Oryctolagus cuniculus: one gene and its partners. The protein of the gene in region 3 interacts with the protein of the main gene of each other region in a pairwise test. Links are inferred from orthologs where the notes say so. Each region holds a gene or a part of one and is shown on either strand. Other genes may lie near its edges.

What was found.
Region 1: the proteins of SDCBP (region 3) and FTL interact in binary tests that used the Homo sapiens proteins (3 or more experiments, as listed by UniProt). The two-hybrid records come from large-scale screens. The link is inferred for Oryctolagus cuniculus from reciprocal best matches to the Homo sapiens genes SDCBP and FTL.
Region 2: the proteins of SDCBP (region 3) and carbonyl reductase [NADPH] 3 interact in binary tests that used the Homo sapiens proteins (3 or more experiments, as listed by UniProt). The two-hybrid records come from large-scale screens. The link is inferred for Oryctolagus cuniculus from reciprocal best matches to the Homo sapiens genes SDCBP and CBR3.

The regions. Positions count from the first base shown.
Region 1 is NC_091449.1:8,287,194-8,292,026, forward strand, and holds FTL (ferritin light chain), read right to left. Parts: upstream 2,519-4,833; 5' UTR 2,418-2,518; coding exon 2,316-2,417; intron 2,180-2,315; coding exon 2,033-2,179; intron 1,714-2,032; coding exon 1,588-1,713; intron 1,493-1,587; coding exon 1,340-1,492; 3' UTR 1,212-1,339; downstream 1-1,211. Other genes in the region: apoptosis regulator BAX, read right to left, coding at 4,411-4,833.
Region 2 is NC_091435.1:8,710,073-8,715,740, forward strand, and holds the start of carbonyl reductase [NADPH] 3, read right to left. Parts: upstream 3,512-5,668; coding exon 3,223-3,511; intron 2,833-3,222; exon of another isoform or gene 1,482-2,832; coding exon 1,374-1,481; exon of another isoform or gene 1,152-1,373; intron 1-1,151. UniProt on the Homo sapiens protein: Catalyzes the NADPH-dependent reduction of carbonyl compounds to their corresponding alcohols. Has low NADPH-dependent oxidoreductase activity.
Region 3 is NC_091437.1:83,784,637-83,789,539, reverse strand, and holds the end of SDCBP (syntenin-1), read right to left. Parts: intron 4,037-4,903; coding exon 3,945-4,036; intron 2,678-3,944; coding exon 2,623-2,677; 3' UTR 1,585-2,622; downstream 1-1,584. Other genes in the region: NSMAF (protein FAN), read left to right, coding at 348-442. UniProt on the Homo sapiens protein: Multifunctional adapter protein involved in diverse array of functions including trafficking of transmembrane proteins, neuro and immunomodulation, exosome biogenesis, and tumorigenesis.

The sequences.
Region 1 (4,833 bases), on a different chromosome or scaffold from region 3:
GAGCCTCACCACTGTGCGCGTCCAGGCCCCTTTCTCCTGATCAGAACTGAGCCCACTGGGTTCTAGAACATTCACGTTTACCTCGAGGCCCTCCCGCCCCCAAGCTTCGGAGCAAGGGAGGGCCCTCACGTGTGCTGTGCCGTGTCTGCTGCTCTACTTGGTTTGCAGGGGGCAGGAGTGGGATTGGCGTGCATCCAGAGATGAGAAAATACATCTATTTAAGAATCCCAGGTGTGGTCCGATTCAGGCTGGGGCCTCCACCCGCACGGCCTTAGGCCTTGTCCTGCTCCCTCATCTCACCCTGCCTCCCCGGGGACTTCACCGAAGGCCCTTCTGCCTAACCGGTGCTTGATTTGCAAACTTTGGCAGGAGCGGCTGTGACTGGGAGCGAGCGCTGGCGGGCAGCCGTTCCCCCTACCACGACCCAGCCCGGCTGTCCTGCCGCAGGTGGGGGCGCCGTCTCCCGGGTTGGCTGTCCCCTGCGTGGCTCTGTTTCTCCCTTTGATTTCTCATCTTCACTAGGCCGGGTGTGCAGCTCAGAGGCAGCTGCTACTCGGGGACTCAGAGAGCTGGCTGTGTTGGGATGTGTCGTCATCCTTCCCCTTGGCCCGCGTGCGTGTGCGCATGTGTGAGACACACAGAAGCCCCCTTCTCCCTGGGAGCCCTGCCGGGAGGGGCGTGGCGCTGAGCAGGCCTCCAGCTCCCGGTTCACTTCCTCTGCTCCCGCAAAGGGAACAGGGGTCAGAGCTGACCCAGCAGACGCTTCTAGAAACCCGCGTAAGCTGCTTCAGTTCCCCTTTGGAGACTCTGGGCCCGGGTCGCACGTCTGGTTCCTGTGCTGAACCCCAACAGCATCACGCGCCCCTGCTCCTCCTGACCTGTCTTCTCGGTACGTGCCCTGCACCGGAGTTACCCCGGCGCGGGCGCAAGGAGCAGCAGCCTTGGCCGGCCGCTCTGGGCTGCCCGTGGTGAAGGGTCACTCATTGTTTACCTGCCTTTCAGAGCTTGGCCCGCTGCCTGACCCCATCACCGCCCAGGCTGCTGAGGCCGAACAGGGCCTTGCTGCCAGCCCTCCCTGAACCTGGCCCGACCCGCTGGGCAGGGCAGTTAACGGCCAGCCGGCCTGGCGGACCTCTCCCCTGCCAGCCCACTCCGTGGAGCCCTGAAGGTCCGTTCCGCCGCCTCCACCGTAATGCACACCACAACCCCATGCTGCAGCAAGAAACTTTATTTCCGTTTGGTCCCAGGTTTGGGAGAGGGTTCAGGGCTGTGAACAAGCTGCCTGGCGGCTGGCAGGAGAGCGCGGGCAGACGCGCGGCGCCGCTGGCTCCGGGCGCCCCTAGTCGTGCTTGAGCGTGAGCCTCTCGAAGAGATACTCGCCCAGCGAGGCCTGGGGGCCGCTCAGGCGGCGGATGTTGGTCAGGTGGTCGCCCATCTTCTTCAGGAGCTTCACCTCCTCGTCCAGGAAGTGGTTCTCCAGGAAGTCACAGAGCTGACGGAGAGAAGGGGAGATCAGACGGCGCACGGAGGAGGAAGGCTCACAAGGGAAATCAGCCCAATCAAAGGCGCGGTGGCGGGGGCACTTACGTGAGGGTCCGTGTGGGCGGATCCCAAGGCATGAAGGTCCAGGAGCGCCTGGTTCAGGTTCTTCTCCAGGGCCAAGGCGGCTTCCATGGCGTTGAGGGTCTTGCCCCACTCATCCTGGGACGGCTTCTGCACAAAGGACGAGGGGCTCAGCACTGGGCCCAAACTCCACTTTCCCAGCAGCCGTCGGGGGCCGGGGACGCTCAAAAGAGGTGGGCGGGCTTGTACTTACTACCCCCACCCTCCTACAAGAGTCGCCTCAGGAGACCACGCAGCGGCCCGGACCGCGGGGCCCTCAGGGTTCACCTCCTTTTCCAACCTTAACGACTCGCTCACGACTGAACTCAATCTCCCAGAAGGCCGCGCGACACCCAGCCGGCGCTCGGGCTCCGGTCTCGGCGCGCGCAGCCCGCCGGGAGATGTAGTCCGCGGGCCGCACACCAGGTACCTGCACGTCCTGGAAGAGGGCGCGGCCTCCGCGCTGGTTTTGCATCTTCAGGAGCCGCTCGGCGGCCTCGCGCTTCTCCTCCGCCAACTCGCGGAAGAAGTGGCTCACGCCCTCCAGAGCCACATCGTCGCGGTCGAAATAGAAGCCCTGCGGGAAGACGCGAAAGGAAAACCGTTGGCGGGAGGCGTGCGGGCTCCGCCCCCGGCGCCGCCGCGGGACAAAGCGGGCCCGCGCACGCGCAGTTGTGTGCAACTCGGGTCGGGGGCGTCCCGCGGACCCTCACCAGAGAGAGGTAGGTGTAGGAGGCCCGCAGATGCAGATTGACCAGGTGGTTGACGGCAGCCTCCACCTCGGGGGAGTAATTCTGACGGATCTGGGAGGTCATGGTTGGCGGCGGTGAGATGACCACAGAACCGCGGTGGGCTGGTCCCAGGAGCAGGAGGTGGCCGAGAGGTGGTCCCGGAGCTTCTGACTGGAGAGGAGGTCGGAGGGCGGTCGAAGCCTGTGAGAGAGTCCCCGGGCCTGTTCCGTTCAAACACTGTTGAAGCAAGACACAGGTCCGCGGGTCTCCCGACGCGTAGCTTCGGGCGGCTGCTTGGGCGGCGGCTTTTATACTCTGCTGGCCCTCGGGGGCGGGGCTCGGAGGGCGAGGGCTCGGCCAATTGGCGTTTGGGGGAGGCAGGGCCTCCGGGCGGCTTCTGACCAATCAGGCGCAGAAAGGGGGTCTCCGTCCCCACCCTGAGGTGGGGAAGTCACGCGCCTGTTGCGCGAGCCTGTTGTGAAATGGAGAATGGGGGTGGGGGTTCTGTGGCTGGTTCGGGGAAGTCGAGGGCTTCTGAGGGTCTCTCCGGGAGGTGAGAGGTTGGTGGGTGCCCGGGGAGCCCCTGGGGAGTGATGACCCTGTGGTCCTGGGGCTACCTCAGGAAAGCAGGGGTCTGTGGCCGTTTCTGAGAGCATGGAACTTTCTGGAACCCGGGGGGGGGGGGTCGTGCCTCAGAGCGCGGAGAGGACCTGCAGGCTGCCAGGGGTTTGTGCTGTGAGCTGAGGGGTCTCCCCGAGCAGGAGGGCTGTGGAGGGCTGTGGAGGTGGCTGTAAGCGAGCCCTGCGGATCTCTGGGAGGAGGGGGCTCCTGCCCTGAGGCCTGGGGGTTAGGAGGAGGTGGGGACACCATGGGCATCCACATTTAAGTCCTCCCCGGGAGGCCTTTAGGCGCTCCAGGTGGTCATTGATGCTGGGGCGTGTGGAGCCTGGGGTCGAAGTGGCGGGGAGGGGTCCTGGAAGTCTATTGGGGCGCGGGGGGAAGGGACGATTGTAAGAGGGGCCCGGCCCCTTAAGGCGCACAGAAGCCTGGGCTCCTCGGATGCCTTGGAGTCCGTCGGCGCCCAGCGTTCCTGGGAAGTGAGATGGGGAGAGTGAAACCCCCCGGGTGCTGGGGTCTCCCTGGGGTTGCGTTTCCTGGGGGGGCTGTTATGGCGGTAACCCAGAGACTTGGGGTCTCCCGTGGCCCCGGAGCAGTCTCTCTACAGAGGCCCCGTGTCTGGCCTGCCACCTGCTGCTTCTGCGTGTCCAGGAGACGCCTTGGGCGGCCGAGGGACAGAGGTCGGGGACACAGGGGCGGGGTGCCTGTCTCCCCGGAACGTGCATTTTTTTTAAACGCACCAGATGCATGTGGGTCTGGGAGTCAGGGGCTCAAACCAGCGCCCTGACCTCGGGGGAGGAGGAGCCAAGGCAGGACCTGGACCCCACTTAAGTGGCCCCTGGAGGCAGGCCTGGGGAGCCGAGGCCCCAGGCGCGGGGTGCAGGGTCAGGACCTGGGCGCTACAGCTCCTGGCCAAGGCGACCCCCAGGTGCTGGGCCCAAGCAGTATCTGGGGCCCTCGGCCTAGGCGGGTGACCAGGCCGGGATGTGCTGAGTCATGCTGACTCCGCGGGGGGAGGGGAAGGGGCAGTGGCCAGCGTCGGCCTTGGAGCTGCTGACTGCTTAAGACCCTTGGGACCAGACCCAAGGCCGCGCGCTCCCCCAGGGCGGCACCCTGTCTGAAACCGTGTGTGCGTTCTCGCGTGTCTTTGGTTCCCAGTGTTTTCCCTGGGACCCTGCGTGTGACCACGGTCTCGCTGGGCGGGGTGGCCACCCAGGCTCCCCTCAGCCCCCTCCACACTTACTGTCTGCCCAGTTTGCCTGTGGAGTTACTGATTCACCACATTTTCCACTTTAGCCTGAAGACCTTTAGCCTCAGGTAGGCCTGCTGGCGAAGAGAGGACTTTGTTGTTTTATTATTTTATTTGAACGGTAGACAGACCTCTGTCTGCAGGTTCACTCTCCACATGCCTGCAGTAACCAGGGCAGGGCTGGGCAGGGCAGGGAGGGGAGCCAGGAGCTCACCCCACTTCTCCTGTGTAGGTGGCAGGAGCCCGGCTGTCACCTGCTGCCTCCCGGGGTGCACACAGCACGAAGCTGGAATCGGAACTGGAACCCAGGAGCCAGGAGCTCAGAGCCGGCGTGTGGGGCGCCCTGAGAGGTATCTTAGCCACGCGCCAGGCAACGTTCAAGGGGCCCACAAGTGGAAGAGGCTGAGCCAGGACATGGGGAGGCAGAACCAGACAGAGAGGGACAGCGGCCACCCTGGGACTCTCCCAGGTCTCACTCTGCCCCCTTCTGCCCGGACTCCCTGGTGTGCGTCTCAGGTGCGCCGCACGTCCCGAGCCCAGCGCCTGTCCTGCAGGGCCCCTGGGCCAGCCCCTTGCAGGGTCCTTTGCTGTCCGTCTCAGCCCTGGCCCGGGCCGAGGCCCTTCCCTTGGAGC
Region 2 (5,668 bases), on a different chromosome or scaffold from region 3:
CCACCACCTTTATAGCAGCACTGTTCACAATAGTCAAATTTTGGAACCAACGTGTCCATCATCAGATGAGTGGCTAAAGAAGATGTGGAATATTATTCAGCTTTGAAAAAGAATGAAATTTTACTATTTCTAACAAAGTGCCTGTAAGCAGAGGGTCCCATGTTGAGTGAAGTATGCTAGACACAGAAAGACAAATATTGCAAGTTCTCCCTTATATGTGGGAGCTAACATTTTTTAAAAAATGAAATCCCTTATACCTAAATACAATAGCATGTCTAGTATTTAAAAAAAAGAAAATTATCAGTATGGACAAGATATTTCCTAATAAAGACAAATTCTTTTGCATTTTCTGAATCAGTTTAATGAAGTTTAGCCCAAGAAGGAAGACAGGGAATGTCTTTTTTTTATTTTTTTTTAAGATTATTTATTTATTTAAAGCCAGAGTTTAGAGAGAGAGAGAGAGAGAGATCTTCCATCTGCTTGTTCACTCCCCAGATGGCTGGGCACCAGGTTGAAGCCAGGAGCCAGGAACTTACTCCAGGTCTCCCATGTGGGTGGCAGGGACCCAAACACTTGGGCCATCTTCTATTGCTTTTCCCAGGCTACCAGCAGGGAGCTGGATTGGAAACAGAGCAGCCGAGACATGAACTGTCACCTGCATGGGATGCTGGCATTGTAGTTGGTGGCTTTAACCATCATGACACAATGCCAACCCCAGGGAGTATCTTAATGCTCGGAGAGATACGATCCTGGGACTGGCATTGTGGTGCGGTGAGTTAAGCCGCTGTTTGCAATGCAATGCAGCATCCCATATTGGAGCATGGGTTTGAGCTGTGCTTCTCTGCTTTTGATCCAGCTTCCCGCTAATGCACCCGGGAAGCAGTGGAAGATGACGCAAGTGCTTGGGTTCCTGCCACCCATGTGGGAGACCTGGATGAAGTTCCAGGCTCCTGGTTTTGGTCTTGCTCACCCAGGCTATGTTGGCCATTTGAGAGGTGAACCTGCAGAGAGAAGATTGATTTCTCTCTCTTTCTGTCACTCTGCCTTTCAAATAAACAATTTTTTTTTAAAGAAGTGATACTATCCCCCAGTGGACCAGGTGTGATCAGAGGCAAGGGTCTTTGTGAACTTGAAACATCTTGTCATTCTAGGGCGGAGTTCATGGTAGATTCTAAGAGCTTTGAGATACTGCCCACATGCCTTTGCACCCTGAAGCTAAGATGCTCAAGTGAAGAGTCAGACACTGTAAGAGAAGAAGGACGCTGTCTACTCTCCCGCTACAGAGAACAGGCACCCTGGGTGACTCCTGCAGGCAGCCCTGTCCAGGGAGTCTGAGGCTGACTCCTTCCTGACTCCCTGCTCACGGGGCTTACCATGAGGTTTCATGATCGGCAGCAACTCGGTGCAGACGTTTCTCGTGGCAAAGAAGTTTGTCTTCACTGTCAGCTCCGCTTGGATATCAAAAGGTGTCGGATCATCAGCTTTCAAAAGGAGAAAGAAGCAACGAGACCGTCATACAATTTTCCTGAAAGTCATATGACACAGTGGATCCTATAGGATAGCAATTCAAGGGGACACAGGTAGCAGCGAAGCAACTTTTACATCACCAAGTTGATGGTCCTCAGATCTGGGTGTGTATCAGTCACCTGCAGGGCTTGGTGACGCTCTGCGTTCCCAGTTGATGCAACAGCAGCTGGTCTTCAGCCACACTTAGAGAACTCCTGGCTTTGACCACTGCTCAAACTTGATGGCGCATAGAAGGTAGGAGAGCGCTTCAGCAAGTCCAGGGGCTCAGCAGTTAAGACACTGGGATGATGCTTGCATCCCGAATCAGTTCCTGCTCACGTGGACCCTGGAACCAGGTGATGGCTCAAGACACTGAGCTTCTGCCACCCACGTGGGAGACCTGGACTGAGCCCCCAGCTCTAACTTTGGCCCAGCTCAGCTCCAGCTGTTGCGAGCATTGGGGGGAGACCACTGTTGGACTTTAAATGACTTCTAAAGTTCATGGAAGATGGAATGAAAAATGTTTATCGCAGTGGGAAAACATTGTGAAATGCACGCAAAAGAGGAGGGTCTTCTGAAACTTTGTGGAAAATGCCTATCATGAAAACTGCAAGAATTTCAGTGTTTTGCACCAGAACAAGCTTTTCTTTCCATTTCCCCACGAACGTTTCCAAGTCCTGGTGTACCTGGGGATTCTGTGAAAACGCAAATTTTGTCAGCCCGTTGGGCGCCGGAGATTCTGCACTGCTAACCAATGTCCAGGCTCGCAGGTGCTGCTGGCCCACAGCCCATATTTTGGGGGGCGACAGATCCCAGTTCACCCAGGTCCCTCCTGGAGGGTAATTATCCCCTAGCTGAGGTTGTTTGGGGGGGGGTGTGTGTCAGCTCCGCCCTGTGCCCCGCCCCGCCAAGCCCCTGGAAGCCTGCACGCAGAGTTACAGGTGCTGCGCTGGGAGCCCCGCGCCGCGCTGCGCTGGTGAGTGCCCAGGGCGGCGGACCGAGGCCTCCCCACGCTGGAAGCGAAGTGGTCCCGTTGATTTCTTGTACCGCCAGCACAGGGCTGAGTTCAAGAACTTACTTAACCGAGTACTGCTTACAACCTGTAAGCTCCTTGATTCTTCTTCGCCCCTGAAATAAGCATGTTTGCGACCCAACGGCAGCCGCCCTGGAGAAGGGACCCGAGGCTCTCTTCCCTTCTGCCGGAGCCCAGCGAATCTCGCGGTTGAGCGGGGTTTGAAAGGCACTGGTGTGCACTAGCGCGCTCGTTGCCCGCGCGCGGCAGATGCCTCCCGCCTGCCATGAATGCGCCCTTGTTCCAGCGAAAGCGAAAGCTCCAGGCGGGGCTGGGCCACCCCCTCGCGGAGAAGATTCTCGCAACGGACAGAAAACCTCCACGAGCTGAGCAGGGCGTGGGCCCCTCCCAGGAGGCCGCTTCTCTTGCAAACAACAGCGACTGACAGTTCCGGGAGGGCCCAGGGCGGCGCACAGGCCCACACAGGCCCGCGGGCGGGGCGCGCGGTGTCCCGCGCCAGGGCTCGCCCCGCGCTCTGCGAACCACGGGAAAGCGAAAACCCGCCGGGAGAGGCGGGAGCTGAGCGCATCCCGAGGGGCCTCCCTCCCCGATCTCTCTAACGGGCCGTTGGGGGCGCCTGCTGTTCTCTGCCCCGCACTCTCGAGGCGTCCCAGGGACCCTCGTCCTCCCAGCCCCTCACCTACTCTGGAAGGCGATGGCCGCGTTGTTGACCAGCACGTTGAGGCCCCCGTACTCCCGGCGCAGGAAGTCGCGCAGGGCGCGGATGCTCTGCAGGTCCGTGATGTCCAGCTGGTGGAAGCGCGGGCTCAGGCCCTCGGCCTGCAGCTGCTGCACGGCGGCCCGGCCCCGCGCCTCGTCCCGCGCCGTGAGCACCACGTCCCCCGAGAAGAGCCGGCACAGGTCGCGCGTGATGGCGAAGCCGACGCCCTTGTTGGCGCCGGTCACCAGCGCCACGCGGCTGCAGGACGACATGGCTGGGCGCTCGGGACACCTGTGCAAGAGAGCGGACCCGGCCGCCGATCCCCGATGGCGCGTACTGCGCGGAGAGCCGCGCGGAACTCAGTTCTGGGATCCAGCCGGGCAACTTCTGGAGAGCAAGGCCCCTGGCCTGGGTCCCTCCCCTCCGAGGAGGGGCTGTCCGCTCCCTAAGCTTTCGTAACGCCCCGGCTCCCGGGGCCGCCCCCTCCCAGCGCTGCGCCCTAGTGGATCCCGGCTCCGAGTGCGGCGAGTGCCTGAGAAGCGAGGTTCGCGCCCGGCAAAACCGGACGGGGATGGGTCAGCAGGGGCCGCAATGCACTGCGGGGCGGACTGCAGGAAAAGTCTGGGAGGACCCCGAAGAGGGAGTAACAAAGGCTGAGTCATCTTGGACCTGCGCCCGCTGTCCACCGCGAGGTGCCAGTGTTGGCAATGGAATCACTCAACCGCTCTTTGCTTGTCGAAGGGCAACTCAGCAGAGAGGAGAGCAACGCGATGTCCCGGGAGTGGCTTTTGGTGGCTCTGTGGGTCTCAGCCTGTCCCCATGTGGCAGAGAATGTTGACCGTGTGCCAAACCCGTTATGGGAATCATTTACTTAATCCCAACATAGCTCCTGCGGGTGCCGAAAGGGTCTGCGTTTAGGCTTGTCCAGGGAGGCTACCCATTGGTGCTGAGCGATCTTTACGGATCCACAGCCATGTGGGAGCCACCAACAAGATCCAGCTGACATGAATGTGGTCAGGTGTGGTCAGGTGGTCACCCAGTTAGAACTTCATCCACCGTTTTCAGTGTGCTTGCTCAGTGAGTGTGAGGTCTGGCAGAAAGGCGACCTCATCATGGCTTGGCTTTTCCCAAGTGGAGCCGCCCGGCACTGCCGGAGACTCTGGGGCCCCCAGTTCCCCTGTCGGTAAGACAGCACTGATAATTTGGAGCCTGTTTTAATCCTGTTCAGAATTTCTGTGCCTTAAGTGAGATTACTGTTTTTCAAGAAATTTGTGGATCTCGTCCAAGTTGTGGGTTTTGTTACACAAAGTTATTCATAATATGCCTTTATTATCCTTTTCATATTGATGGTGATTCTACGTCTCTCATTCCTGATGTGGGTAATTGTGTCTTTCATTCCCCCCTACCCAGGGTTATATAGTTTTACAAAATTTTTCTCATGGAATCGTTTTTCTGCCTCATTGACCTTTCATTCCCTCCATTTTGCTGTGGTTATATTGATTTGTGTTCCGATCCTAACTTGACTTCTTTTGGAAGCCTTACTTGCAAAATAGCCATTTGCAGAGCAGGAAAAGGAGTTGATTCAGGAATTGGTACTCTTGAGTGGCTGAATCAGAGACCTATTTGGGGTGTGACCCATTTGGGAGCTGGCCAGCCTCCCCCGAGACCCCCTAGCAGCGTCCATCAGGAAAGAAGAAGCGTGGGACGGCCGGAGCTCCACAGGAAGGACACCAGGCGGCCTGGAGGAAGGCAGGTCTCCCAGGGCGGTGCGGGACTGGGGTGTAATGGAGGCAAAGCACCAAAGACTGGAGTGCAGGGGGGGCCAGAGCTCGCAGGGGCACCGCTGTAGCCCCTTTCTTGTTGCTATGATTGAATACTTGGGGCTATGATTACGAGGATTATTTACCCACAGTTCTCAGGGTCGCCTCGTGCTGCATCATATGGTGGGGTGGTGGTGGGAGGGTAGAAGTGGGGAGGTAGGAGCACAAGAGAGAGACAGGTGTCAGCTCACCTGTAATAACCTGTGCTCGCCACAATTAACCCACCCCCGAGGGATCCACCTCACTCCCTTAGGTAATTAACTAGTTAGTCTCTGATTACCTCTTCCTCCCTTCCTCCCTTCCTCCCTCCCTCCCTTGCTCCCTCCCTCCTTCCCTTCCTTCTTCCCTTCCCTCCCTCCTTCCCTCTCTTTCTTTCTTTCTTTCTTTCTTTCTTTCTTTCTTTCTTTCTTTCTTTCTTTCTTTCTTTCTTTCTTTCTTTCTTTCTTTCTTTCTTTCTTTCTTTCTTTCTTTCTTTCTTTTAAAGGCAGATTTACAGAGAGGCAGAGGCAGAGAGATAGAGGTCTTCCATCCACTGGTTCACTCCCTAATTAGCCACAACGGCCCAAGCTGGGCCAATCTGAAGTCAGGAACCAGGAGCTTCCTCTAGGT
Region 3 (4,903 bases):
CCTTTTCCCCACCTCAGCTAAGTGGCTCTAGTTAACATATGACCCCTTCTAATGGAAAAGTAAAATCAGCACTTCCACCAACTGGCTACCTTCTCTCCCCCTCCTGCCTCATTTTATTGCAGTCTGTTCTGTATCCATAATTCCCAGGTTTTACCTCTATATTAACATTTAGATGGTTTCTTACAAGTTTGTTATACCAAGTAGTTATTTTTAATTATACCAGGACCTTACAATAGAGATAAGACAGAGTAGAACTTTGTGCATTTTTGCTTGCTATCATTCATTAATTCTAGTAAGAGCTGTCTTTGGGTGCCCCAGTTGACTAACGAAAACGTCTTCTCTCTCAGGTGCTGTGACCTGTATATGGATGAATGAACAGTGCAGCAGTATCATCACTGGAGGAGAAGACAGACAAATTATGTTCTGGAAATTGCAGTATTAAGTGCCTTTTCCTGTCTTGCATATTCAAGTTGAACTTTAAAAATATTTTTAAACCAAACTTTTAAATGAACTGGTGAATGTGCAATGATAGAAACTAGAAGTTTTACCACACGGAAATTTGTGTGGTTTTAAACTTTGTAAATCACAATGACCTCACTGAAAGCCACTAGCTGCCATCCTCTAAGGCAGATGAGATGGCAGTATTTAGGGGAAGCATCTCGTTTGTAAGGCAGAGGGTCATACCACTGTGATGGTTAGGAGACAGGATTGCATGGCAGAGTAGCTCAGAGCTACTAAGCTGGGCAAGCACCAGGTAGCCGTGAACAACTGAGCTTTCCAAGGAAATGTGCAGTATTCGCTGCTGCTTCTGAGAGCCTGTTTTGTCTTCCTAATCTACCACAACTGCTGCCACCAGGTTTTTAGGTATGTGTGTTTTCACGGAGCGGCTACTTTGTATAATGCTCTACCCAGATTCTGAGAACCTGGGAAGGATCAGAAGTTCTCATAACAGTAAGGTTACTGTGTATGGGAACGGTTTGTATTTCATTAAACTATTAAATGCTCATCTTTTCTACATTAAAAATATTTTTCTGTAATGAAAGCAGTTTTCATTTTCTTAATTAGTAGCTTTTAAGAAAACAAGTATTGATCCTTCAAGAAAACTGTATTCAGTCATAGGAACACAGTTCCACTACTTTTAAAACTAAGAACTCAAGTCTAGATAGCAAGATAAGCAATCAAAGCATTTCACATTGGTTTTCTAAATCTCAAAACAAGGTCCATAGTACAGCAACAACACTGTTCTTTTATATTCAATTTTTAATACATACACCCATATTTTTGTCACATAATTACTATAGTACCTTACAGGCAGTTGGGATGGGGGAGAAACACTACAGACCATGGTAGTAAGAATTTCTCAGACTCAGTTTTAAGTGTCTTAAAACACTAACTAGAGAAATCAAGAGGCTCCTTGAGTTCCTGCTGCGATGCACACGTGTGAAGCAGCGCCCAGCTGGAGGCACTTCAGTCTCAGGCCTGGTCTCTGCTTTGGGAGATGACTGTTTCCCTGTCTTCAAGATCAAGTACGGCTGTGTGCAAGCTCTGTCAGTGGCTTCCAAATGATGCAACAACAGACTAAAATTTCCCTTTATACATATTTAATTAGGATAGGCATAAACCAAAACAGAAAAAATAAAGTGTCACCGTCACTTTGTTTACAGGGAAGAGTCAGGAAAACATTTTATTATCCCAAAGTAGGTAGGTTACATAATGTTAACATTCAGATGCCAAAATTAAGTATTATTCTACTTAATCTACAAATGAAAAGAGGAATCAAAAGTTCATCCTGTTTAGTATAAGAAATTTTACATTAAATATAGAGCGCTTTGTTTCTCAGGAAGCAGTACTGGCAACTTGGAGAAGAAAGATGTTTGTTACGCGATGACTAGAAAGTGTCAAATACAACCAAGCAGCTATGCTATTAACCTCTTTTGGGCTAGTGCACATTTCAGTTTAATACAGAACTACATTTTGAGTTTTAGGAAGGCAGCAATAATTATATTTTGGCTTTTGTTCTAGAGCTTAACATAGTTAAGGCGACAGTTGAAGCATATTAGTGAAGGTAGTTAAAATTTAATGACAATCATCATAATCTCTTGCGACCTACATAAACTGTATAATGCTTACATGGAATGAAACCAGCATTACGTAATTGGTGTTTACATACATACAGAGGGAGAAAAAACCTACCAAAGGCAATCACTCTAAATGTACTATCACGTACATGTTAATGCAGATATACCATAGAACTAAAATGACATGAAGAGCACTACTCATTACCTAGAAGAAAGGTAACTGGTTCTCATACAAAGCTAAGCTGGCATCAATCTCCCTCAACACAATGGCTTAGAAAAGCATCAGGTTTCCAGTAGAGAAACTATTCTAGGAAAGTCAGTCAATCTTGTGAAAGTTTCACAGCTGTAAAACCAGGCTAAGGCTACAACTACCGTGAAGTCTGAGGAGACCAGATGAACCAGTAGATTCCCAGCCATAACTGAGACGGGACGGTCCTCATGCAGCATATGCTCCCTGGCTCCGGGAAAGCTTCGTGTGCATAATACAGGAGTAGTTGAGAAAGGAAACTGGAGACGCTCAGCTGTTTCCATTGTGTGCTAACTGTTAAACTTCAGGGATGGTGTGGTCCATCAGGCTTTTCATGATGCTTGGCGCCATCCTACAAGAGAATCATTTTCATCATACACTCAGGTTCTGTTTGTTTTGAAAATGTGCTAATCCAGGAAAACGCCATCTAATCAGCCCCTTTGGGTATCCAGTAAGACTGAGGGAGAAGGGGAAGGCCATTCAAGTGAGTTCAGAGATAAGGGTCTCTGGTCTTCTAGTCAGTAGTAACAGGCCTTCTTTATCCCGGCTAGAAAAGTTACTAGGTAAGGTAAAAAGTCCTCGTATAGTTAGGTTGGTGATTAATGAAAGAAAAATGACATGGCTGTGGTTAACTACAGAGGCACATGGGGAAGGAGGGACCGGTTTCCAGTGGTTGCAGAGAAGAACTCAAGAAAATGCTCCAAGAGTAGCTAAGAAGGGTTATATTTATGAGTGTTTTAAATTTCACTTCCACATTCATGTTAATGATTCTGAAAGGATTCCAAGCTGGCATGGCAAAAACACTGACAGAAATTAGGATCTGAAAAGCTCTAGAGAAGTAACTCTTAGCCCTTTTCTGTTCTCACACATTTTTCCAATCAGTTCCTAGGGACGGCTGCACTACCCAACTCTCACCTGTCCTCGGAGGCGTGGGAGGGAATAGAAACCGGTACTTGTAACATCCCACAGGCAAGAATTCTCCATCCTGAACCACCACCACTAGACTTCCAGGGTGCAGTCATTTGTTCAAAGCAGACAGCAGGCCCACCTCTGTCCACTTCTGCTTGGACACCCTCTTTCTACTAGGCAATGTAAAAATTTAGCTAGAGGGGCTGCCACTGTGACATAGTAGACTAAGCCTCTGCCTACAGCACTGGCATCCCAAATGGGCACCAGTTCGTATCCTGGCAGCTCCTCTTCTGGTCCATCTCTCTGCTATGGCCTGGGATAGCAGCACTTATTGGGCCTCTGCAGCCATGTGAGAGACCTGGAAGTGGCTCCTGGTTCCTGGCTTTGGATCGGTTCAGCCTTAGCCATTGTGGCATTTAGGGAGTGAGCCAGTGGATGGAAGACCTTTCTATCTCTCTAACTTTAGCTCTCAAATAAATTTAAAAAAAAAATAAAATTGGCAAGTAATAGGATGAATTTCATTCCATACTTGGAAGCTGTGAAGAGTCATCCTTACCAGCCAATCCTTGGATGTAAATAATTTATTCTTCAAATTTTTAAATAAATGTATCACTCCTTAGCAATAAACCAAGCTTTGGGAATTAAAGAAAAGTGCAATGCTTACATAACTCATACAACTATATGTAGTATTTGAAGACTTGTGTACTTACCGTTTAATAATATGTTCAAAGATAAAAGCAGGCATGATTGTGATGGTAACTACAGTTCCAGATGTTGACAGTATGTCTGCAATTTGAGAGTCCTGATGAAAACACATAATGAAAATTAATTTTACTAAGCCTTTAATAAAAAAAATTATTCTTGGTAAAGAAATATACACCATACCTCTTGTTATGTTAGGCTAGCATGTCTAAAACACTAAGATATTTGTTATTTTTCTAGTTTTCCTTACCAAGTTTTATTCTATAGAAAGCAGTTTTATAGATAGTAACAAAACTGAGTTGAATATATTAGAAAAAAGTCACATTTTCATTATTTCAGGTAATATTGTGGTACTGTATATGGGGAAAATTATCTTTTCTGTTAACCATGTACACTCAGCCAAACTTTATGACATAGGCAGGTCTTAATTAACATTTTGACCTTAAGACAGACTTAAGGGAATTCAAAATGTTCATGCAAGTGTATTATTCAATCTGTAGGGACTTAAAAACTTTTAATTCCATTTTCCCACAAAAATTTTGAAGTGCCCTCATATTTAGGGATTTTAGGAGGAGAAAAAACTAAAAGGTATGAACGTGATCCAAAGCTTTTACTCATTTCCTATATTCCTGTACTGAAAAACAGCTGGGGAAATATTCATTCAGAAAGTCATGAAAATCACTGCTCATGTCCTTCACCAAAGTTCACTCCAGGGACTTCACAAAACATTTTTGTCTACCACTCCTTTTTAAAAATAATTTATATAAGGTGAACAAATTTCATGTATTTCATATATACACATTTAGGAGCACAGTCATACTTCCCACCCTTCTTCCTTTTTTAAAATTTTTACAATGACATACTTTATTTTATAATCATAAACTTAACCCTCCAGTACTTAAAGAATTTAATAGTAAGAAGAAAAAAATCACTTTTCCTCAACAGTAGAAACAAGGGCTATAAATAA